Linked DNA regions of Kluyveromyces lactis. The protein of the gene in region 2 interacts with the protein of the main gene of each other region in a pairwise test. Links are inferred from orthologs where the notes say so. Each region holds a gene or a part of one and is shown on either strand. Other genes may lie near its edges.

What was found.
Region 1: the proteins of SHO1 (region 2) and INN1 interact in binary tests that used the Saccharomyces cerevisiae proteins (3 or more experiments, as listed by UniProt). The link is inferred for Kluyveromyces lactis from reciprocal best matches to the Saccharomyces cerevisiae genes SHO1 and INN1.
Region 3: the proteins of SHO1 (region 2) and FUS1 interact in binary tests that used the Saccharomyces cerevisiae proteins (3 or more experiments, as listed by UniProt). The link is inferred for Kluyveromyces lactis from reciprocal best matches to the Saccharomyces cerevisiae genes SHO1 and FUS1.
Region 4: the proteins of SHO1 (region 2) and AHK1 interact in a two-hybrid assay, tested with the Saccharomyces cerevisiae proteins (2 studies listed by BioGRID). The link is inferred for Kluyveromyces lactis from reciprocal best matches to the Saccharomyces cerevisiae genes SHO1 and AHK1.

What each region holds. Positions count from the first base shown.
Region 1 is NC_006037.1:995,298-1,001,427, forward strand, and holds INN1 (Inn1p), read right to left. Parts: upstream 3,327-6,130; coding exon 2,160-3,326; downstream 1-2,159. Other genes in the region: RPC31 (DNA-directed RNA polymerase III subunit C31), read left to right, coding at 1-592; KLLA0_A11550g (uncharacterized protein), read right to left, coding at 790-1,854; THO2 (Tho2p), read right to left, coding at 3,591-6,130. UniProt on the Saccharomyces cerevisiae protein: Required for the ingression of the plasma membrane into the bud neck at the end of cytokinesis, leading to the separation of the mother and daughter cells. Stimulates the synthesis of the primary septum (PS) by CHS2.
Region 2 is NC_006041.1:627,092-632,965, forward strand, and holds SHO1 (osmosensor SHO1), read left to right. Parts: upstream 1-2,685; coding exon 2,686-3,759; downstream 3,760-5,874. Other genes in the region: MRP21 (mitochondrial 37S ribosomal protein bS21m), read left to right, coding at 166-630; AVT5 (amino acid transporter), read left to right, coding at 992-2,362; DNA-binding protein kinase TEL1, read right to left, coding at 4,063-5,874. UniProt on the Saccharomyces cerevisiae protein: Plasma membrane osmosensor that activates the high osmolarity glycerol (HOG) MAPK signaling pathway in response to high osmolarity.
Region 3 is NC_006039.1:116,415-122,641, forward strand, and holds FUS1 (Fus1p), read left to right. Parts: upstream 1-2,535; coding exon 2,536-4,068; downstream 4,069-6,227. Other genes in the region: KLLA0_C01518g (uncharacterized protein), read left to right, coding at 271-717; KLLA0_C01562g (nitroreductase family protein), read right to left, coding at 4,277-4,867; KLLA0_C01584g (uncharacterized protein), read left to right, coding at 5,689-6,227. UniProt on the Saccharomyces cerevisiae protein: Required for cell fusion. Negatively regulates Sho1p signaling to ensure efficient cell fusion. Interacts with SHO1.
Region 4 is NC_006038.1:267,978-275,282, reverse strand, and holds AHK1 (Ahk1p), read right to left. Parts: upstream 4,460-7,305; coding exon 1,418-4,459; downstream 1-1,417. Other genes in the region: SEI1 (seipin), read left to right, coding at 521-1,219; E3 ubiquitin-protein ligase BRE1, read left to right, coding at 5,494-7,305.

The sequences.
Region 1 (6,130 bases), on a different chromosome or scaffold from region 2:
TGCTATTCACTACATAAACTTCAAAAATGCGTTGAAAGATGGGCCGTTCTTTACTGGTTCAATGGAACTAATCTCAGAAGAAGATCAAGAAGAAGGTGATACAGAGAACGCTAAGAACAAGAGAAAGAATAAACCAAGCTTACAAGTAGATGCAGACGGACTAAATGATGGGATTGAAAGATACTCTGATAAGTATTTGAAAAGAAGGAAAATCGGTACTTCTATCGATGAGCATCCTTTTAACATCGATTTCTTTCCAAAAGAACTCTACCATGTCATGGGTATCAATAAGAAGAAGTTGATACAACTGTCGAAACTGGACAAGAGCAAGACGCTCTTTGGATTGAATGGGTCTAAGGAAGAAGATGAAGCGGTAGGTCGTGCTCTTTTGGAAAAGATGAGCGGTATGGTCGATGATGATGAGGAAAACGAAGAAGGAAATGAGGAGAAGGAAGCCGATAAAGATGATATCGATGAAGACGACGAATTTGAAGAGGACGACGATGATGACTACAATGCTGAAAAGTACTTCGATGATGGGGATGATGACCTGGGAGGTGATGATGAGTATCCTGATGAAGCAGAATTCTAAGTCACACTGAGAGGAAAATCAGCCTTTATCGAAGGACCAATAAAACATAAATAAAGCATTAGATCTTTATTCGCATAAAATAGCATTTATTATAGACACTGTCTGTTAACATTTAATTTACTTCCATTATATATTGAGTTTTCCTTTAATATTTTGTATCATAACACATTAATAACATGGCATCAGCTGAAAAGCCTTCAATTTCTCATAACTTCACGAATGTATTTCTCTTTATTGAGTAAATAATACTCTTCCCATAGCATACCTTTCGGACATTTGGGGGGTACCCTGGGAGGAGGAAGAGTTGGTTGCTGAAGTACATAAAGTTGTCGTCTCGTTTCGTTTGTTTCTGGAACTGACCATCTTCCATTTCCCAAATATCCAGTTAGTTTTACATTAGCACTTGGGAAACTATGAATAAACATAAGCTTATCACCCAATTGCAAGCGAGCGTATTCATTGTTCAGTAGATCTTTTGGAGTTTCTTTGATAACTAAGGTATCGTAGTCATAGTTTCGAATCTTCTCTTTATTTTGCTCGATGAATGAATATACACCGCTTGTATCAGAAGACTCAGCTTCGTAGCTTTTCAATCCATGAGTGTAATTTCCTGCAACTACAGCTTTCTCCTTACCATCATATATAATGACATTGTCGTACACTATGTCATCTGAGTCTATGTTTAGATCATTACGTCGTTGATGCCTAGAATGTCTTCTTAATCGGGGAAAAAATTTAGGACTAGATTCTTGGTCCCTGGGTGTTGTAGCGGGTTTACTTTCGGGACTCTGAGGTAGTTGCTTGGGCAGTTTGGTCTTAATTACTGGAGAGCTCTTCTCGCTTGGACTTTGTGGGCTTTTCAAAGGTATAATAGGGCCACTTGATGGGAAAAATTCGATGTCTACTATGAATTGGACATCTTTTGCAAGTGAATTCAATTCAACAGACTTCCAAACGACATAATATTCTCTTAGTGCTTTAGGTCTCAATTTGTTGATATTAATAAAATCCTGGTCTAGGACGTCCCTCCGTCGACAACCAAGAAGATCATTCTTCAATCGTGGCCTTCGCCTAAATATAATGAACTCCATATTAGTATCCCAGTCTGCAGCTCTAACATTAAGTTCTAAGTTTCCCCTAATGGAATTGAATCGTATTGCATTTTGACCCAGTTTTAACATGAAGTATGTTCCAACTTCAAGCTGTTTTCCGACAGTTATTTTACTGGGCAGAATTATCAATTTACCATCTTGTCGTATCATTAATCCACTGCAGTGAGGTTCCTAATTCGAATAGTATCAAACATAATACAGCAGAGTCTTCTTTCGAGTATTCTTGTGCGATTACTTTAAAGTTCTTTCTTTATATATTCTTTTCTCATCTTAGGACCCTTTGGTTGAATAATCATGCAAAAAGGCTTAGCATTGACAGAATTCAAGGTGCAACGATTGAAACCATTTTAGATTCCAAGGCTTCGAGAAGATAAGAGGAACATCTAATATGAGTAGTGATAGAAAAACTTTTAACTGTCTATCCTATCAATGATTATGTAGTTCTAATAAGTCATTTATAATGGTGGTGGTCTCCTCCTTGTTGGAGAAACCGAGCCTGATCTTGAAGAAGGCGAAGAAAAAGAATTTGGCAAGTTCGGTAGCCTTGGAGTAGTAGGTTGTCTCACAGGAGATTTTAACGGATATTTTTGTCCGGCTGAATGTCTCACTGAAGATTGGCTGGATAGTCTTGAAGGCGTAGTCGGAAGAGGTGGTAATGGCGGTTCAACAAACGATTTTGTAGGAAGGTGATTCATAGGCGATGGCTCGTCAATGTTCGTTGGTATTCTTGAGCTTGAGCTACTCTCGAGACCGCCACCTACCACTTTCTGTAAGACTTCCAAATCCATCGCAGTGTTGGTGATACTCTCTGTAGATGGTACCGAGGAGCCGTTCTTGAAATAATTCAATTTTTCTTTGATCAGCTTTAACTTGTCCATCAGCCCATCAGTAGATTGGCTTTGTTGCGAATGATAGGTATTTGCTGTAGCATTAGACCCCATCGATGAATCAAAATCTATTCTTTCACTTGAAGCGTGTGATGATCTAGAAGTATCGAGGTTTATAGGTAGATCAGGAAGTGGAGATTTTATATGAGAGCCGTGAACGTATTGGCCTGGGGATGCGGAAGCAACGAACCGCTGCTCACTTGCCGATGTCTGCAGTTCATATTGTGCATGTAACTCCGGTGGATCTGACGGTAGTGGTGGTACTGACCTGGACTGTACACTGGAACTTATTTTTGGAACATTGTCGCGTCTGTCTTCGCTAATGTTATTTGGAACAAAAGTCAATTCAATATACACCTTACCAGCTTCCAAAGGACCCCTCTTCAGATGATACCACCTATCATGGCCTTCTTCAGGGTCACTTAGTAATGCAGGCAAAAGATCAACATCGCACTTCCCAATGAGCTTCGAACCATGTTTGTGATCATGGTCATCGTACAGTTCAACGCAGAGTAGAGGCTTGATATCGGGCGTTAGTTGAAAAACACAATGGTAATCAAATTTTGGAGTTTGGCCGCCTCTGTATATCACTGGAGATATCTCCGTAAGATGAGCTACTCTTAACTTGACGAAAGGATCTTGCTTGTCTAACTTTCTTAGATTTGGAAGGTCCTTCGCTTTACTCACATAAACATCTAATCGACCATTTGCTCCGGTTATCACGTTATTGCTCATTACACTTAATGCCTATATCGATTGAAAGGTGTTAACAGTGCTTATTGACCCATAAAGAAGCTCTATTCAAACTGTAAATATGTAGTTTAGCTTGATTCAATCTTATATTTACATAGGTCTATGTTTTTCAACATTTTTCATATTGACAGTTTTACGTGGTAAGAAGCATCAGAGTCTCAGGGAAAGACCGTACAAAATCGAAGATAATTGGTAGCATATATTATGCTATGCTATTTAACTAAGTGTCGAGTTAAGTATTTTTATTCACCTCGAATATCTCGATCCTCCAGATTGTCTTTTTGGACCAGATGGTAATGGCGATTGGTTATTTGTAGAACGATCGTTCAACTTAGGCTTTTTAACGTTTGAGAATCTGCTTGAACTTTGGTAAGATTCATCAGATTGCCTCTTTCGTGGTTCGGAGGGAGTATTAACGAATTTCTTCCCTTGATTGAATGGTCTGCTAGGAAGCTGTGATGTGTTTGAATTGCTGATACTTCTGTTGCTAGACGAATCTTTTCTTGGGCCAGATGGTAATGTGTTTTGGAATCTGCTAGATGAACCTGAGCTTGCAGGACCAGATGGTCTTGAGGAAGTATCCGGAGGCTTAGACGCGTTGGCTGGTGCTCTTGGCAGAGTTGTTGAGGCTATACCATGTTGATAACGAGAAGAAGCTGCCTTTCTTGGTTCACTAGGTATTGGACGGTTACTGGAAGTGTTGGAGTTCCATCTTTCACCACTGTACTTCGATGAAGGTTTAACAGGTACTACTTCATCTTCATACATACTTCCAGGTGTCTTGGTTTGAGGCAAAGGAGCAGATTTGCATCTTTGAATAAAATTTTCAAAGACAGATCTGTAGTGATCAGGTGGATTACTAGTGACTCGGTGGTAATAGTCCTCGAACAATATCTTCAATTTGTTTCTAAATCCAGAGATGTTGCCTGGAGCTTTTATCAATTTTCTAAAATCACTCTGAGTGTTAGAATCGTATATCAAGGGAATGGCTCTGGTGTACTCAGCATCCTTAATGTACTTCTCGATCTTATAAAAGCCATCCATGACTTGCGATGGAGATGGAGAATTGTTGGATATGGACGACATGGATGGTGCGGTAAGTGAAGATGTTGCAGCACCGTTCTCAGCATCCTGTTGTTTTGCCTTTTCCCTTTCCTTTTCTTTCAATTCTGCTTCTTCCTTTCTACTTTGCTCTGCTTTTGCAGCTTCCTTCATATCTTGGTACCTTTTGATGAGATTCATCTCGTCTTGCAGTTGTTGCTGTTCTTCCGCTGAAACTTCACGGAAATCCGATGTCTTAGAGGCGTTCTTAAGTCTAGCCTTTAAGTGTCCTTTCAAAGCGTTTGATGGCAAAATGATATCCTCCCTTTGCTCGTGTTCAATTAAATGATCCAAAGTGTCTAAAACCAATTCCAAATGTTCATCAACGACAGGGAAGATTTCGCTTATAGCATTTAAAAACTGGATTGTGTTTCTAATGGACATGTAATTGGAATCCTCTAAGGTAAATGATAATTGTTCTGTTAATTGATAGTAGAGGTCATATATTACAGGTTTAATTTTGTCATCATCCAATAATGTAGTATGTCTCCAATTTTCGATTTTGGTAATAATGTCCTTCAAAAACGTAGCGATGTTGCTCGATTCATTTACCGTAGAAGAAAATAGTAAGGTTCCTAAAATGTTTGAGGATGTGAATTGCCCTAAGATATCAATTACTTCTTCGATATTAAATGTTTCAGTAATGAAAGTTGCGCAAAATATGGCATCAAATGGTGAAAAAATGAGTCTAGGAACAACGCAGTGTTGCAAAAATGAGGTAATACGCTCACGGGAGAATTCGGGGAACCATGTCTCCTTGTTCATTTTAATCATGTTCTTTGTCTTTTCAAAAACGCTTGCATGCTGAGATAGATCAAATTTGACTGTCTGTATTGTGCTTAATAAACTATGCCTCTCTTTCAAAACTTTAGCAGCCTTTCTCTTGTCTTCGTAAATGATTTTCTGCTTCGTGTACAAATCTTCTTCTAATCTAATATCATATAAGGATAACCGCCAGAAATCAATGAATAGACGTTTATCAATATTTTCAAAATTGATGCCTTTGAAATCAGTCTCATATAGAATTTCGTTGATTTCATCAGCATCATTTTCAGATCTCGCCAGCTTTGTATCGAAATAATGCCTCCAGATATCAAACGCCCACTCAACAGGAAATTGATATTTCTCAATTAAAACGTTGAAAGGTAGAATATTGGCTTTGAATTGTTCTTCAGTCAAAATGTGCTTTAACATTTCAATAAATGACCAAAGTAATGCATTGGATTCATCGCATTTCGCTGATAAGATTTTATAATGAACGTTATTATCGGTTTGAATCTTAAGATTCAAATTTGTGAGCATGATAATCATTTCTGACACTGCATTAAGCTCTAACAAGTAATTGACAATAGTTTTTGAAGGTTGATAATACTTATCTCTGAAATCCAAGATAAGATTTCTACCGATTTGTTTTAAAAAGGATCCTGAGCTTATCATTAGCAAAGTGTTCCAATTTACATCATACAACGTTTGTATTCCTGCAACTTGGGAGATTAACTCCTTCAAAATAGCCAGGGTAAGCGATGGATCCTTGTAAAGATTTTTGACCAAAAACACGAATATGTTGGACATACTCATTTTAGAACAGCCTTTAGCAAGACCCGCAATGAACAAAGATAATCTGCTAATCCACATTTTGGGAGTAATACCATCATCTTGTAAAGTTGGCCTTTCCGATGTGAGCT
Region 2 (5,874 bases):
CAAAAGAAGCCATTCTCTGCACTCTTTGAACCGACACTTATAACGGGAAAGTTTACTAGAACTAACTGCTTGTGGTGGATATTTTAAAATTTAGGTGAGGTCTAACGCGATCTTATCGGGCTACGGGACTTAACATTTTGAAAGGATAGGAAAGCAAATCAAACCATGCTAACTGCAAGAGGGTTCCAATTGGGTGCCAGCAGGACATCTACTTTATTGTCCAGACAATTTACACAATGCACTATTAGGAGACAAGAAATCATAGATTATACAAGGTTGACTCCGCTATCTAAAAGTGCAAAGGAATCGTCAAACGGATCTAGGAAAGACATGTCCTTTTCGGCAATGATGCAGTCGCCAAGAGAAGATACTTTGAGTTCCAAGCTAACAGGAATCCAAGCTGGAAGAACTATTGATGTCTTTAGCGGTAACACCATGGCTGCTTTCCAAAGGCTAGGGTCCATCGTAAGATCGAACTCCATTCAAAAGGACAAGAGGGCTCAAAGGTTCTATTTGAAGCCTGGTAAGGCAAGAGAATTGAGAAAGTCTCAAAAGCACAGAAAGGAGTTCATGAAGAGTTTCAAGAACTTAATAGAGGTGGTCAAGGACGCCAAGAGGAAGGGTTACTAAATGGCTTTATATGGCTTCTTATGTAGATACATAAATCATGTCGAAACGAAATCATCTCTCTCCAACATGTATATAGTTTAACAAAAGACAGAAAACAAAAATATTTCAAACAACAGACATTTTTTCCAAATAACATCAGTGACTGGGTTACTGCGGTGAAGCTTAAACTGTATTTCTTATCTTTTGTACATTATCTTGCGTCCTTCTTTCTATCGTCTGCATGCCATAATATTTGAAAAATCAATGATTCTTGCTTGATTCTTAGGACCATATATCTTTATGCAACACAAAATAAGGAAGTACAGGTAGTTTCTCCTACTGACGAGATAGCACCTTAAAATTAACTATAACGTAGTACAGGATGTCATCCAGTGTACAATCTGGGGTCATCACACTTCTTCATACGGCATGCGGGGCTGGTATCCTTGCAATGCCTTATGCTTTTAAACCCTTTGGATTGATTTTGGGTTTGTCAATGATTATATTCTGCGGCTTGTGTTCCTCTACGGGGTTATATTTACAATCATACGTGTCGAAATACGTTCCTCCTGGACATGCCTCGTTTTTCACTCTTTGCAGATTAACTCGTCCTGAATTGAGCGTCGTTTTCGATGCTGCAATTGCTGTTAAATGTTTTGGGGTCGGAGTTTCATATTTGGTGGTCGTTGGAGATTTGTTACCACAGATAATGTCCACGTTTACAACCCATGGGTGGCTCTTATCACGCCAGTTTCACATCACTGCAGTTACGTTGATCATCGTGACACCGTTGTGTTTCATTAAGAAGTTAGACTCTTTAAGGTACACTTCTTCCATTGCAATTACAGCAGTTGGGTACTTATGCGTATTAGTTGTCTTCCATTTTGCCGTTCCAAATAGCGAAATCGACCATTTAAGAGGCCATGTTAGCATCTGGAAACCCAGTGATGTGGATTCATCCATGCTAAGCAGTTTTCCAATTTTCGTTTTCGCGTATACTTGCCATCACAACATGTTTTCCATCATCAATGAACAATCAGACAAATCTTTAGACAGTATAACGAAATTGATTAGGATTGCCATTACGCTAGCAATGTCTTTGTACATTTCCATTGGAGCGCTAGGTTATTGCACCTTCGGTGATCATATTACTGGTAACATTATCACCTTATACCCAAACTCCATTTCCAGCACCATCGGTAGAATAGCTATAGCATTGTTAGTGATCCTTGCCTTCCCGCTACAATGTCATCCAGCTAGAGCATCTGTCAATCATATCTTACATTACTTCTCCAAGGGGAACACCCATCCCCCAATGACAACCACAAGTGCAGAACAAAACAGTCTATTACGGGACTCTGAACTCGAATCTAGCGAACAGTTAACCTACGAATGCGAAGACGAATTAATTGAAGAAAACAGCGCTAATCAGCCTCCAGTAGTAACGTTAGAAGGCCCTAGATTCATCTTTATCACGTCTGGAATCCTATTATTTTCGTACATCCTCGCTATGAGTGTTACGTCGCTAGCAAACGTTTTGTCAATAGTAGGAGCAACCGGATCCACTTCTATATCCTTCATCTTACCTGGAATATTTGGCTACAAGTTAATCGCATCGGAGTACGCCAAATCCGTTGTACCACCAGCAAAAGAACGAATCTTGAGAATTATCTCATTGTTACTTGCTATTTGGGGATTCATCGTCATGATAACTTCACTAAGTGCTACCATATTTCTACATGCGACACATTGAGGGTACAGGATAAACAGGGTACTAGAGACTAACCATTGATACTGCTACCAATTGTACTCCCGATTGACACTCTAAATAAGCGGCCCGCGTATTCCTAGCGAGCCTTTGGTTGCTGCCTGTCACATGATCAAAAAATAACTCATCTCTCATTGTAGACAGACACCAAAAAAAATGATAAATGTATACCGTATATACATAAATATAAAAAGTAATCAATACGAACATACTTGAACTTGAAGCAAGTTTATTTCAATTTTAGTTGTTGTGTTGTCACAAGTGTTCCAATAGTCCAGCGAGGCAAGGGAATATCTGCAAACAGAGAGATGGCGTTGATTAAAGCAAGTCAAGCCCGTGCTGTAAGGGAGAATCCGCATGTATCTCATCAATTTAACATCTCGTCATTTTTGGGCGATCCTTTTGCCATAGGCACACTTAGTATTGCATTGATCTCATGGATCATTGCATTGGCGGGATCCATTGCTGTTGCAGCATCTACGTCTCCATTCCCAAGATTTTCTTGGTGGACTATAGTTTACGAGATACTACTAATGATTACGCTTTTTATCGTGTACTGTTTGGATTTAGTTGACTACTATAGAATGTTCATTACTTGTGCTGTTGGTATCGCATTCGTATATACTTCGAATAGTACTAACAGTATTGTGTACTATGAAGGGTCCAAGAGTGGTGCAGCAGCAGCAGGATTTATCTTGTTATCCATGATCAATTTGGTGTGGGTGATTTATTTTGGTGGAGATAATGCATCTCCAACCAATAGATGGATCGATTCGTTCTCACTACGCGGAATTCGTCCTTCGGTGCTAGAGACATCCATGGCTATTGCCAGATCGCAGAGACTGCCGGTCAAACCTTCTTACCCATACCAATACCAGGAAGACTTGCGTTCAGCATCTCTGCCTGATGTCCACCACGATGACGAAGGTGAGGGCCACAGTGGCAACATGTATGCGCCAGAACTTCAATCGTCTACAAAGTATGTGTCGTCTACAGTGCTGAACGGATTTGAAAATACAGATCATTCCTCTTCGAAACCAAACCTTGATGTTAATGCGCAAAATACTGCTACACTGAATACACAGGCCACTGGCACTTTCATCACAGATACCACCAATGCCAACACAGATACTACCATGGGAGACACATTAGGCCTATACAGTGACATTGGTGAAGAATTAAACAGTTTCCCATACACTGCAGAGGCTTTATATACCTATCAAGCGGACCAAACTGACGCGTATGAAATATCCTTCGAACAGGGCGAAATTCTCAGGGTTGGTGATATCGAGGGTAGATGGTGGAAAGCCAAGAAGTCAAACGGGGAAACAGGGATTATCCCAAGTAATTACGTTAAGCTTTTGGATGGGAAATCACACTGATTTTATTACTGCCTCCCATCAGTTTGTATCATTAAACATTTGATTTGTGTATCGTCTTTTATATTATATTATTTCCACAGTTTGCAATAACAACCGGCTTATCAACCTTATTCGCGAAAAATTCAAGTGCTTTTATCAACACAGTTACTGAATTCTTCATTAACACGCAAATACTTGCTTCGAATGAATCATGCTATTTAATGAATATGCTATTATTTATAATTATACTGCTTGCAAATCGCTTCAGGTGCTGGTAGTATAATAAAGTCTTCATCTCGAGTAAGAACTTCAAACACATCAATCTTAATAAAATGGGGACCATCCCATGTAAATTGTCGCTAAATTTTGTTTGTCAGTAGCACTGGACAAAAGCTCCTGAACAATTGCTTCAACGCTCAAACCGTCTCCATATAACTTACTTTCAACTCCCTTTAGTGCTCTTATGGATTCATCATTATTATTATCTTCTTCTAAAAGCTCGCTGAAATCTGCATCGGAAACACTAATTTCCTCCTCATCATAATCACCAGTAAACTTTGCTTGCAATCTTTGCTTCTTCAAGGGAGTCATCTTCCATGAATATAATGGGTCCCATTTCAGAACATTTAGAACACATAATAATCGCTCTTTCTCGTCTTGTAACACCTTAAATACTCTTTCGCAGTTATTTCTAAACAAACCTTCGATACCTGCTACGCCAAATCCGTCTACAATATCCCTTGTTAGTCTAAAGGGAACCAGTTCCGGTATTGGCAATAGCTTTCCCTGATCAAATGCCACTCCAAGATCAATATGAATGGGTTCACCGGTTTTTATATCAATCAAAATATTATTAAGATGCCTGTCTCCCAAGCCTAACAGATATCCGACAATCGATGATGTTACCACGCTCTTAGTATATCTGTTCCTACTTTCATACCAATCATGTGCATGCACGAAAGATTGAAAGAAGAAGCGTCTTAACTGAGGCTTAATTTTCTCCGTAATTCGACTGAATGTAAGTACTCTTTCCTCAACACTGTGATTCTGAGCGGCTTTCATCGTTTTTCTAGCTTTATCGAAACTGATTTCATCGTTACAATGCAAATTCAATAAAATATCATGCAAAGACATGGAATTTGCAACAAACTCAATCAACCCCGCGCGTGGACCAAGGGGGATTACCTCATAGGTTCTAACGCTTAAATTTTGCTTTCTAGTTGTCTTATTAGCCTTTAGTATCTTGTTCACTTGTTTGAAAACCTGTTCCATAATTGCATCCTGTCTGAGGTCATCATTGCTACCTTTTAAAAGAACACGATGTCTGGTCCCGTCTGATACTGTAAAAGTTGCAATTTTTGGAAGTGACAGACCAGATGAAGAAATGAGTACTTTGGGATCAATACTTGAAATATAGCTGCGTCCCTCACGGCGTCCATCCTGTGAGCATGTGATTTTGACTGGCAGTGTAGGCAGAGGTAAATGTACTTTCGGTAAGGTTTCTAACCAGTACTTTCCAATATTTAGTGTGTCCAGTTGTAAAAACTTCATTTTAGGAGGAATTTTATGACAAGCTAAAGCAACAGACATGGAACAAAACGCTTGAACAGGACGAGTAAATTGTGAACCATATCGGCCACTATCGTACATGTCCAGAGCAGCAATTATTTTATTAACCACTTCAACCCTTGATTTGGTTACTGGGTCAATTACTTTGGACTCCGAATCTTGAAGGCTCATCGAGATCAACGGATAAAGAGTTTCGTACGGCAACTTATATAGCATTCGTTTCAGTGTTAACTGTAAGGTGTCTTGAAATGGTGAAACTGAATCAGCCAGTTTAGAAGCCATTTGACTCACCCAAGGTAAGAACTTAAAGCTTGGAACTGTACCAATTTCCTTTTGTAGTTTAGAATTTATAATGTCATCAGTAGAATACGAAAACCATAGGCTGCAAAATTTATCGACGACTTCAGCATCTCTAGAGTTAGAGTGTACCAAAGTCGTTAGAAAGAAGTGCAGGGCCTGAGATACAAACGCGATTCTTGAAGAGGATATTTTGTTGTATCTATCTTTGTCATGATGGTTTTGCAAAGATAATCTATTATGGTGTCTTTTGGCCTCTTTACGTTCCGC
Region 3 (6,227 bases), on a different chromosome or scaffold from region 2:
CGCATTGCTCTCACAGTTTGACAATGCTGAGGCTAAGTAAAGTACCTAGCTAGTAATTTTCAGCATGAATGCAAAAAAGGAAATCTAATATCGCACAGCTTCTTCATCAAGAAAGGTACTACATGCATATAGCATAGGCACCTGTTATAGAGATGAGTTGCAAAAAACTAAACAAAGTATAAGGTTACGAAGCAGACATTAGCAGTTAAGCCAGTCTGTGATTTTAGTCACTAACGTTTACGCTGTAATAGTATTGCTGATAGCAGAGGTATGACCAGCCTTTGTTTTGCTCCCAGACTAATTCCCATATTAGGATACTCCTACGACATCTTATGTGTTCGAAGAGAATTCGTTAGTACATTTGTTTCTCATTTTCTCCCTTCCCACTTTGAACCTTCTGAGAACTGGTCAGCTTTAGCTGCTTCTATTCGATTATTCAATATCTGTTATCAACCCAAGCCATATGCCTCAAAATACCTTACGAACAGTTCTGCAGAAGCGTACGACTGTTTGCGTTATTTCACGAAGCAAAATGGTACCTTCGTGCATCTGGTGCCTTTTTCTTTACTGCATATTTCCCGTACGTTGAATTTACCCCTGACATGCATAACGGTCTTTTCAGATTGTACCTCAAAACGTGAAAATAATTTTGTGCGTTTCCCTTTAACTGATAATCCGTACACCCAATCTTTTCGAAAAAACTTTGGCATGATATAGAATTTACAGGTTAGATCCGGGAGCGTTGTGCTGTTATCACTCAGCAGCTTTAACTCCACTGAGACTTTTCCAGTGCGGACCCGTTACCATCTTGGTACGCATCAATTTCTTACGATATCTCATGGGCTAGGCAGGGACTGGCGAAAACAGCTGATTCTATACTACATAGATCTCATGATTCCAACCAGATTTTCCCGTTAAGAAGGGTTTTTTTTTCATGTTATTTCTCCAGATGCTCCTTCTCAACTACAAGGTAAGGCCAACTTAAGGGTAGTTGGTTAAGTTTACTATGAGCATAAGATATTAGCCTCATTCATGTAGTCTCAAAATAACAATTCGGTCGGGAATAAGAGAATATCTAAGTTTTGAGGGCTTCTTGGCATATCAATGGTTGTATTGAAAGCAATTAGAGAAACAAAAATGGTTACGAATGGGTCAAAAAACAGCTGATGCATTGTTGGTTTTCCCGTATACTCGGAGTGTTCTCATATTTCGTTTCTAATGAGTGGTTTTAGAAGCTTCGGCATATGCTTCCTATACGCGACAACGGAATGTTGGTAATTCTATGTCAGGCGGTCATGTTAAGGGTGTTAAGAAAGCAGCTTTTTTTTTAGCGCTAAGACTAAGAGGCAGTTTTTGTCTGGCCGGAAAAATGTTTATCACGCTTTTACGGTGACGAATACGGATAAATCAGCGATCTACTACTTTGAAATATGAGTCGTTGATCAGCATAGAAGATGTTGTGGCTTGGCACAGGAATGTCTATTTCACCTAGTATCTACCTCAGTTGAATTGGCACTATAAACATTTCAGCCTTTTTGAAGAAAGAAGTGTCACTAGTATCAACTTCGATCGAACTTAACTGCAGGAACTACAAATATTGAGAAAATATAGCTAGTGGTCAGTTGTTGAATTTACCTCAGCGACCATTTTCCTGTCATGTCATGAAATGTTCGATAGATCAAACGATGAAATCTTTAAAGCTGTCAAAATCCGCGAAGAATTTTAAGAAAAGCAATGAGATGCGAAAGTAACTTTCTCAGCCTTGCTGTTCCTTCATAGCCTATGCCAAACTGCAGATCATGTTTGCCAAATACAAATAATCACACGTTTGACATTCAAAAACCTATTTTAAGCGAAAAACTCTTTTCTAGAAACACATGTCAAAGAAATGGATATCTTGCACTAACACTTCCCTTCGTAAATGTACTCGATGAATAAAACTTTGTTCGAAGCCAGCTGCTTCTTCTGCTACTATTATGCAATGAGCACGTGAAAATTAATCCTGAGTGCATGCCAGAACAAATATAAGATGTTACCCGGATATCACATACTTCCCCCAGAAAGGCGATGTTTGTTAGACGTGTTTCAGATTTGTATTGGATCAGCCTCACGTCAAAAGTACAGAAAGTCAACAACCTGCAGATTCAGATATAAGACAATTTCAGGGACCAAATAGTTAGTACTCTGAAACACTTGAAAAAGAAAAAATAGAATCCAAGGGCACATGAAACCACAGCTGCTTGCGATATTGAGGTATTGGGTATCATAAACAAGGGTTACAGTATGTTTTAACGCAGGTAATTGATACACTTTTAACGTTCCGGCTCCCTTGGGATTATGAAACATGAACGTATTGAATTAACTTTGATAATTCAGTGACATAAATACTGAATGTAATAGCCACTTTTTTTCTGCTATTTTCTGACTCTTCGTTGGTTGACTTTACACGCTTGGATTTGGTGCTTAAGCACCATTGCAGACGCGTAACTTTTCGGCGTCCATGAAACCAGAGGAAAAAATAGAAGAATAACTAAGATGGAAATAGAAACAGAAACACGAACGGTGATCCAGACGCAAATGAACGAACTTATTCTACATAATGAAGCTACTGTCATTAATACAATTTATGTTGATCAATACTATCGAGCATCAAATACTTTACCATATGCATTAACTACCGTCTCGACAGCGTTTGCAACTCAACTGAACAAAAATGTTAAAACTGCAACTATTACAAATCAAGTCACCACTACGATTGAAACTTCTCAAGAATCCACCTCTACTAGTTCTACATCCCATAGCAGTAGCTCATTGGGAGTTCAGAGTAGTCAATCAGCGAGAATGACATCAGGAATCTCCTTGAACAGTCTAGCCAGTACATCGGATGGAAAAAATACTAGTGGTACCATTTTAGGTCTTGCCATAGGATTACCAATTGCCTTGTTTGTCGTTGGATTGGGAATTGTGTTCGGGTTCTTGTACTATCGAAGATTCCACTCAAAAGTTGATCCTGATAATGAAAATATGCAACAGCATGAGCCAGATTCGGTGTTAGGGAAGCTATATGGGATGCAAGAACTTAATGATTTAAAAAAAGCAGAACTTTTCAACGAAAAGAAACAGGATGAAAAGTATGATAGCGGCGTAAGCTCTAAGATCACATACAAAGTTAGCAAACCTTATATTTCTCATCCTGAACTCATTCAAACACCGGAAAAATTGGCATTTACGGACAATCCATACAGAAAAAATGTTAACCAAAAAAGCGACACGAATGCGTACTCAAATTCGACAATGGATTTAGGACAGTTTCCCAGACCATTAGCATCACCCTTCAAGAAATGGAACTATGAATCGCCACTTTCAAGATGGTTTTTAACCAAATCTACTCTAATCCAAGACAAAATTCAAACAGCAAAGACCCCTACTATTCATTTGAAACAACTTAATATACTTGCAAGAGCAAATAAGAGTAAGATCACTATAAATGGGGAGGAGCCGTACACTGAAATGTCACCGATGCTTCCTAGTGTTCCTCGATCTCCATATGAAGCTATTGAATCACTGCCGTCATTAGAACTTAAAGAGGAAAGTGAAATACCAATCAATGAATCTAAGATACGAACGGAACAAGGCGTAATCAAACCGCAAATAATAGATACCAACTTAAAACCAACATATCCAACGCTGCTCAAATTGGATAAACTATCGAAAACAAAACCACTACCCAAGCCGCCTAATCCCCACTTCACGTCGGCCAACGATGATCAACATGTTTCGGATAATGTCAGTGCAAGAAGTGACCATCATGACTTACGATCTGCGAGAAAATCAACTGCTCAAGAGCAGGCAAAATTATACCGTGTTGTCAAGGACTATCAGGCTGTGTTGATGGATGAAATAGATATACGAGGAGGTGAACTTGTACGAGTACTTGCAAGACACACAGACGGATGGTGTTTAGTGGAAAGAAGTAATATCCAAAACCATAGTTCACTAGATGGACCCACTTATTTGAATGAAAACCGTGGTATTGTGCCCGGGTTATGTCTTCAAGAGAGTATGTAAATGTATCGCTATCACAAGTAATAGTAAACGATAGTATTTGTTTGATTGGCTCTTGGCGGAACAATCTCTAGGTCTAATTTTCCGGCAGTTTCAAATAACTTGTAGTTAATCTTTAATTTTCCTTCATTATATAGTATGTGTCTACACATATGACGTTTTTCCTTTAATTTATATCAGCTTATTCGTTAGAGATTGACATGCCAGATACCTAGTTCAAGATTTTGACAGGGTTATCGATGTACGTCTTTTCACCGGCTTCAGCAGCTGGTAGTCCAAAGACCAATTGAGCTTGAACAGTCCATTCTTGTGGAATAGCACCTTCTGGCAAAGCAGCCTTAACGTAACCGTTGTAATGTTGCAAGTGACCACCCAGACCCAACAATTCGATGGCAGTCCATGTGGAGATTTGAGCAGCACCACTGGAATGTTCGGCGAAAGATGGGAAGATAGCAGACCATGCTGGGAAGTCAGCTTGCAACTTTTCAGTAGTCTTGTCATCGGTCAAAAAGATAATAGAACCGAAGGCTTCATCTCTGGCAGAAGCAGGTCTTTTCTTACCGTTATCACCTTCAATGGCATTCACAACAGAATCCCATACACTCTTGTGGGTTTCACCAGTCAGAATAATTGCTCTGTTACCTTGGCAGTTGAAAGAAGTTGGGGTGTCCTTGACAATGGCCTGGACCACTTCCTGAACATCATTGATAGATACACCAGATGGCAATTCAGGCTTCAACGCATAGATAGTACGACGAGCAGCAATAGCTTTCAAGAATTGTTTAGTGGCAGCAGCAGACATTAGATACAGTTTTAGGTTGATTGGATTGACCTCCGTAGAATCAATATATTAAAAGACCATACACTACACTTGAATAAAGTTAGCGTGAAACAAGACAGACTTGATAATTGTTTCCATCCTCATATATATATGTCAGTGTCACATCAATTATTTACACTAGGAGTAACTATAGATCAGTCTATTACAATGGCTTATCCAACCCCGTAATCCCAGATTGTCTTGCACCTTGGGGTACTTCTAACCACCGACCTGACTTTCCTCAGAAACATTAAGACACAGTGTTCGTGTTGTCTGTCGTTTCGAGCGGTTTTTTTTTTTTTGATTTTTTTTTTTTTAGGCATTATTCATCTTAGTAAAAACTGACAATAGCGCTTACTAAAGTGAAGAAAAGTGGTGAAATTAACAGAAACGCTTACATTATTAAATTAATACCGAGAAGTTTCAAGGAAGCTTGAACCAGAAAGAGAAATGTCAACTTTATTAATCGTATCTACTTACGTAAATAGCGAGATTCAAATATGAGTAATAAATTATTCAGGTATAGATGAAGCCTTTCTAACAGTGTAAGGAAATCTTTTTGTGTATCGAACCGGTGCTTATCATCATCCGGATGTCATAACAAGATGGAGGGTGGAAACAAAGACAAAGCCAATCAATGGGTCACATGATCAGATTATTGTTTCTTCTATTTTACCTAAAATGACTCCTAGTATCATCAATGATTCAATGGTAGAAAAGGGTCTAACTAGATGTCTCCTGTATCTCGAACTATCTAGTGAACGTGCATACGTCGTGTTTGCAACCTTCAACTCCTCTCTAGAATGGTCGAGCTACTGCAAGATCTTCAAGCCATTCTGCCGTTTCCTGAAGATGCCAAATCATCACCTCACGTTATAGAGTGGTTGAACGTATTAATAGGCAAAACAAACGAACCAATTCAATGTTTCTTGCCTATATGGTACTTTTCGTACTTAGAATCCTACTCTAAACGGTTTCCAAATGTAACGGTTGCTGACAAATGGAAATTAGTTCAAGATTGGTTGAATAATCCTTCGTTGTTACTGAATACTGGTGTTTCTGCGTTGACATTAGGTGAAAGTTATACTTTTCAATTGCCTGAGCAATGGGCCCGCTCAATAGAGGAATTTGGGCTCTGGATCCAGCTTGATGAACCTTACCGGAGAAAAGATGTACCTTTCTATGCTCAGCTAAGAATAATGGTCGGTGACGAGGATGAGACGTTTGAATATCTACTGTTCGATAACGATGTGAAAGTGTCACTGAGTGACAAATTTGATCAAGCTGGTCTTTATTGTATTAAATTCAAGACAGAGAGTCCGATTGATATATCTACTATCAG
Region 4 (7,305 bases), on a different chromosome or scaffold from region 2:
ATTGTTTCTTTCTAATTATGTGTCATTCCAATGCCTATGTTTGTGCTTTATGGCCTCTTATCTAATTCTGTCAGCATGTGTAACCAGATAATTGTTCTCGTCTTCATGTTTTTTGTTTCTCCGTTCGATTTTCTTAGGTTGCTTCCTTTTTTGAATAATATGATCCTTTGATTTAAAGGCCGTTGTAAATCCCCTTCATCTTCATTTTCATTTTCATTTTGTTTTATTCCGTCTTATTACATACAAGTATACATCATCAAAAGGTATTCCTTACTTTCTGTTGTATTCTATCGTTATAAGCTGCAGTCCGTTAAAACTCAGTGGACTTCATACCTCTATATATTTATCTGTCGTTTTGTATACTAAATAGGATTCTGGAGCGTTGGAAAAATCAAGATTATATTTAAAGCTTTCGCTAGTATTTTAAGGTAAAGAATATATGTAAGCATGAAGTGAACAGCTGCCGTTGCAAAACAAAGAAGTTGAAAAGCGTCACTCCCCGATAGCAAGCTATAAATTAATGAAGATAAACGTATCCATTCCACTTCAGGCAGCAAGATGGTTTTCTTATTTGCTTATACTTATATGCATTGAGATTATCTTCATTTTACCATTATCGAATCTTTTATGGATAGATTTTATCAATAGGTTGATTCCAAACAACAGAATGCATGTTATACCTTTGAGCAACATGGCTAATTCTTGGACAGTTCCATTTGATTTGCGGGTCATTGCCAATGTTACATCAACTAAAGAGAATGAAATACGATCAGACATACCTTTAGATGTTACCTTAAATTTGGGGATTTATTGTACTTCTCACCGACCAATTGAGGCCGTGACTTTATCAATAGATGACAATCCCAGAAAGTTACCTCTTGTATGTTTTGATAACTTGAATTTTCTCTCTTCAAGATTCAATGGGTTCGATTCAGTGTCAAAAACTGTCAAGAAAGATGTCATCAATGACTTTAAGTTTGGATTTCCTGTAAATCCTGATAACAAGAGGATCAGGATAGATTTAAAGGACTATACTGAGGACTACCTTTTAAGTTACATCAATGTCCAATTTTCAGTGAAATATACCGGATTCCGAAAGTTTTTACTAAGCTGGAGAAGAACTTGTCATCTATTGGGCACTTTATTATTTGCTAGTTTGATTTCTAGTTGCTTCCTATTATCTTTTACTGGTGTCTTCAGCTATATTGTAATGGCATAAAACAGACACTCAAGTAGTTTTATTCTAACTCACATCTCATCCTGATGTTAAACAGTCATACTCTGTTGAATTGTTGTATTTGGAAAAATGCGAATTTTTAATGATAATAGAGTTTCTATTGACTTTGATTGTTCAAATGACTTGATGCATTAAAAAAGTAAAATTAGGAAAGTACGAAACACATATATACAAAAGTTTCTACTTATAATTTGATATTGCTAGTAGGCCCTTGTTCAAAGAATGGTTTTGGTAAAAACCAGGGTCTAACTCCATGTAAATAAGGTTGTTTCCGTTAACCTTCTCAAACTCGACAAATTCCTTCATAGTAAGATTGAAAGTGTATATTACTTTTATCAACTTGGTCAGTCTAGTGATCAATTTCATCCTTTCAACAGCCGTAACAGGGTTATAGTCTTGCTGGTTGATTATTTTTTCATCCATGATATCAGACGATCCCGTGAATGTGTCACCTTCGAAAAGCTGATTGAGTTCTATTTGTGGGATCGTATTTTCTTTCTCCTTCGAGATTTCGTTGTCGTAAACCTTGGTCACAGAGTCCTCAACAAGATTCAACTGCTGAAGTTCCTCAATGGTAGGTGCTAGAGAGTCAAAATCAAATCCATCTAGCAGTGTGTCATTTGCGATGCCGAATGGATTCGGTAAAGGTTTATCATAGGGTTTGGTGCTTTTAACTCCCCACTTCTTATTGAAATCTTGGATTTTATCCAGTAAGTTCTTCCTTTGTATGGCCTGAGAGTTCACCGTTACAGTTTTGAACACATATCTGATGGGTTGCTTCTGTACGATATCTTTGCTAAATTTTGACTCAGGTGGGGCCATAAGCTTCCGTTTCTTAGTAGTTTCGGTGTCTGAATTGTTTATGATATGAGATCGGGATTGCTGTGACAGTTTGTACAAAAGGTCCTCCGAAGATTCTGATCTTGATGAGGTCGATGCAACAGATGATACGGTGCTATACATAGATATCATCTCTTGAGTATCAAAGGTATCTGTTGTGCTACCTGAAGCTACACTATCCCTCCTTTTGCTTGCCGATGATGGCTTTGGAGGTAGTTCTGGTTTACTTTTCGAAAAACTAGACAACAGAGCCCCAAAGCCAAATTTGGGTCCACTTTCCTGCTTCAAGTTTTCACTTTCTGCAGTGTCATTGCTGTGGAGACTTGATGTGCTGGAAGAGCTATCGTTTCTTATTGATCCATTCTCTCTTTTATTTTTGTTTTTTTGAGCGATCATTATAGCTGCTCTGCTTACTAGCTCATCAGACACGTCAAAGGGATATTTCCCTCTATGAATAACAACACCCGGCCGGATATTGGTCATCCGTGACATATTATTGAACAATGCGGTGTTGTTGACATTTTTGTTATTTGCTTCTGCATGCATACACTGGCTTACGAGTAGGAGGTCTTCTTCATACAATGGTTCTTGACGCTCTAGTATTAACCTATTATTGGTATGGAAAAATAATACCGTTTTCTCATCAACTAATTCAGTGTAGTCACAGTTCAAAACGTTAATAATTTGCCAAACCTCTTTATTTATGGCATAGAATTTATGTTTGATGGCATGAATCTGATCCGTTGAAAGATCTTTATCCGGGAGTATTTTGAACACGAGTAATTTATGAAAAAGAATGCTTATGATGTGGAAGTCAGTATCAACAGACAGTAGATTCCATAACTCGTCGATAATAGTAGTAACCACCCGTTTACGATGAGTGACAGGGATGACACTCCACACATTGAAGAGACACAACAAACCGACTAATTGAGAATCAACATTGAAAGTTTTCAAGGTTCCAAAAATACCATCAGTCCAATCATTCCATGACATAACTTCGATAAATTTGGGGAGTGTGTCAAAATGGAATGTATAAAACTGAAATATTATATTGAATATAATATTAGCCATCCATGAATCATAAGCTGATATAACGGAAGACGCGTTTAAAAACTGCTTTTCTTGGTATGAAAAGAAGCTTATTAATAAACTTTTATCCATAGAAGTGTTATGAAAGAACCCTATTAAGGATCTGATGCATTCTATGATTCTGACAACTTGAAACTTGGTGAAGATAAAATTGATGATCTTCTCTCGACCAACATTAATTTGGTTGGGATTCGAAGTTGTTGCATTTTTCAGAAGTGCAGCCTCATGCTTGTCTTGTTTGTCTTGGATCTTGATGAACCTTGAAAGCCTTTCTAAGTCTGCCTTCAAAGAATTTGAGCAAATATGAGAAATTATAGGACAACCGGGGAAATTCTCTGGTTCCAATTTTTTTAGCCCTGACTCATGATGTATATTAAGTATAATGTACCAATAATGAAACAAGAAGGTGGTAAGAACCTGAGGATTCTGTAGGTATGAGATCATGATGGGGAAAGCTTTTTTTGTTTCTTGTGTCATAACATCACCATATTCAGTATTACCAAACTCTTCTATGATGTCCTGTGTATACTTAGATTGAGGTACACCTTCATCAAGAATAGCAAATTGCTTACTTCTGCAAGGTAGTAAACTCACTCCTTCTATATTTTTTATGTCAAATCTTCCTCTGGAAATGAACTTCACAACTTCGAAGTCATAGTGTAGTTCATCATTCAAATAGCATAATGCAAATGCAATGATTTTACCTATTAACGGTGTTAATAGTGCAGTATAACGTTTTAGAAACTGTAGAATGGTAGACTCAGTATTGGTGTTTGCCATTTGAGCAGCTGTATTTCTTACCTCTAAAAGGTCCGCCCTTTTTCTAGAGTTTAAAACCAACCTGTTGGTCACCCATCGTACAGTTAAAAGTAAGTGGTACGAATAAATTTCACGGTCTTTGTCAGTGGAGGTAGTGGTTAGTGCAGTAAGTGTAATAATTCTGCTGATACATTCGAGTGAAACTGAGATTGCATCTATTGTAAGAGGCGTATTAGTGGTTTCTGATATAAGATCTGAGTTTAAGAAATTGAGTAAAGTTAACCACCACTGAGTCAGTACATCTTGTTTAGGCCTGTTACGTAGTTCTTCTTCTGAGGATACTTCAATAAGTGGTTCCAGTTTACGTAATAGCGATAATAAATTCAATCGGAGGAAATTCGTCACCACTTTCAATTGTGACACAGACAACCCATGGTCAGGTCCGTGACCAATAGAACCCGAAGAGGCTGTGAGGTTAATGAATTTATTCAAAGAATTCAAAAGATGCATATCTTGCCTGCCAGTATCCATGTTAAATCTGTCTGTTCTTGATTTCTTTTACTGTTGGTTCTCAAAGTGTTCTATCTCAATTAATTGGTAACTTTCTTAGGTTACTGGCTGAAAGGTCGTTCAAAAGAGGATTTTATAACTCTAACCGCATGTACGAAACCTTTCCCCAAGCACGTAAGGCAACTATCGAACGAATAAAATGTTTTCTGAGATCTAAATTTGGGTCAGAACTGGAGAATCTACTTTTGTTCCCAGAGACAGAAAGATTTCAAAACACAGACGTCAGAGCTTTTGGCAATCCCTTATGAAATGTGAAATAATCAAAGCGAACGTTTTACACCAGGTGTTGATACAATCACTAGGGCTTCTCACAATAATACAATTGGATTTGGTCCCACTGCTATTCTCTTGTCTCTACACAAAATACTGAATGAATATAGAAACAAACTTTATATATTTTATGTGAACTTAAAGGATCTCAGATCTTAGAAATTCTTATATTGAAACGGAATGAAAAATCTTTGTATACTAAAAACAACAAGAATCTATTAGTAACACATGTAATAACATCAAATTCAACGCCATTTCCCATCACATTAGAACGCACACAGCCCAAGAGTTTACCATGTAATGAATTTATCAAAAAGTGCTGCCTGGCACTTCCTTTTTCCACCCTGCGAACATGGATTACTTGCTGCTACCTTCACGTGACCTTGGTTTTCGATAAATTCGCCAAAAATATTTCAAAGAAAAAAAGTTAAAAAGGTTTTACTTTAAAAGTTGACAAGATAGCATCACTAATGTCGGTCTTGAAGAGGTATCTCGAACGCCTTGTAAGGGTACTACTCGGCAAGACGTATTACTGACATTATAGTTTGCAAAATACTTAGTGTGGGAGGGTTTTTTTCAGTCTTTCACATCTAGAGATATATAATTTGAGACTGATTATCAGTGTGATATTCTGAGCTTACGAAATTCACGAAAGGTTTACTGTACTTGCTCACATTGTCATACAAGCTCTAAGTTTTCTGAGACCTATACATAAATCCGCATATATGAATGACCATTTTGTTAAGCGGCCAAAGCTAGAGCTTTCCGATCCTTCTGAGCCGTTAACGCAGAAGGATGTAATAGCGTTCCAAAAAGAGGCATTGTTCAGATGTTTGAATAAGTGGAGAGTCAAAGCTAACCAGCTTGTAGAAGAGAATGAGGTTTTAGCGGCTGGGCTTTCGAAGACCACCGAGTCGGTTTCTGGATGCTGTTCATCTATAGTCGTATTGGCTAGATCTGTGGTTGAGGACTGCAGCGATGAGCAGGACAAACGCTTTTTACAACAACTCATCAATACTGAGGATGAGCATACCCTTACACAGATAATCAGCAATAACAGTGCTAGGATATGCGAACTAATACTGAAGACCAGTGGATCTAACATCTCTGATAACATCGGTAGACTACAGGAGCTAGAATCGCTCACTTTGACTTTACAGAAGCTGTTGAAATCCTCTGAAAATAAGCTGAAGAAGGCTACCGAATATTATGAGAATATAATTGCTCAGTATGATAGACAGGACAGTGAAAGTGTTTCTCGTGTGTTTAACACTGCTGATGATGATAGCAATGTAAAGAAAGAGAAGCAATCTTCGACTGGCGCAAGCTCTGTGAATGACGAGTCAAATGATAACTCAGACAAATCCCAATCTAATAAAGAAAGTGCAGTATCTCAGGCTCACCACGAAATTGAAATAAATGACTTGAATACTCAAATCTCCGTCTTGGAGGCTACGGTAAAGGAATTAACGGAATGGAAAAATCAAAATGAAAGAGAACTTTCGGAACTACGACAAACAGTAGCATCTAATAAATCAGCGCTTTCTAACAACCAACTTCAATCTAATTCGCAACATCAACCAGATGCTTCAGTTACTAATGAAAAAATCAGTTCCTTAACTAAACAGAATGAACAGTTACAACAGATTAATGAAGGCTACTTAACCAAGTTTCAACAACTATCCGCGGATAGAGAAATATTCAACAATAAACTTACCTCAGAGTTTAATTTAGCACAGGAGACCCTTAAAAAGCACAATGCTTCTCTAGAGAAAGATTTAGTTAGGATCAGAACAATTCGTGATGAATTATTGGCCAAAGTTTCTCTTTTGGAGGCACAAAAGACCAAATCTGAGATGTTAGAGGATTTAGAAAAGTCATTGAATATCCAACAAGAACAACTACAAAAGTTTGAATCCAGAAGTTCAGAAAATGCGTCCCAAGATGCATTAATGAAAGAATTACAGGATCTCGAAAAGGCCTTCAGAGAGGTGTCACATCTTTCAAACAAAAAGTATGCTGCATACCTGAACCAAGAATCTGTTTTAAGTAAATTGACAGTTGAAAAGACAAAGGCCAGCGAAAAATATTTTGCTGCAATGAGATCCAAAGATGCTATAATGATAGAAAACAAAAATCTTTCTAAAAATTTGAACAAATCAAACGAGCTCATCGTTCAATTGAAGGACCTTGAAAAGACGTTACAACAGAAGATCGTAAACGTTCACATGCAGTTGAGCCTATCCCAAGAGAATGAGAAGAGGGTCAAAGAATCTAACAAAGAAACTTCAATGAAGATAGTGGAATTGACATCTGAGAATAATAAATTGAAAAAATCAACAGAACGTCTTGAATCAGAAACCAGAAATCTAATCGGAACTAAGACTGAGCTCGAATCTAAAATCAAGGACAAAGATATCGAAAACAAGCAGCTGAAGATCAAGGTTTCCAGTGCTGAAGCCAAGTCAAAGAAATTATACAAGACATTACTCTCTAATGGTGGTGACAATGGTGCTCTAGCCGAAGAGTTAGAGAAT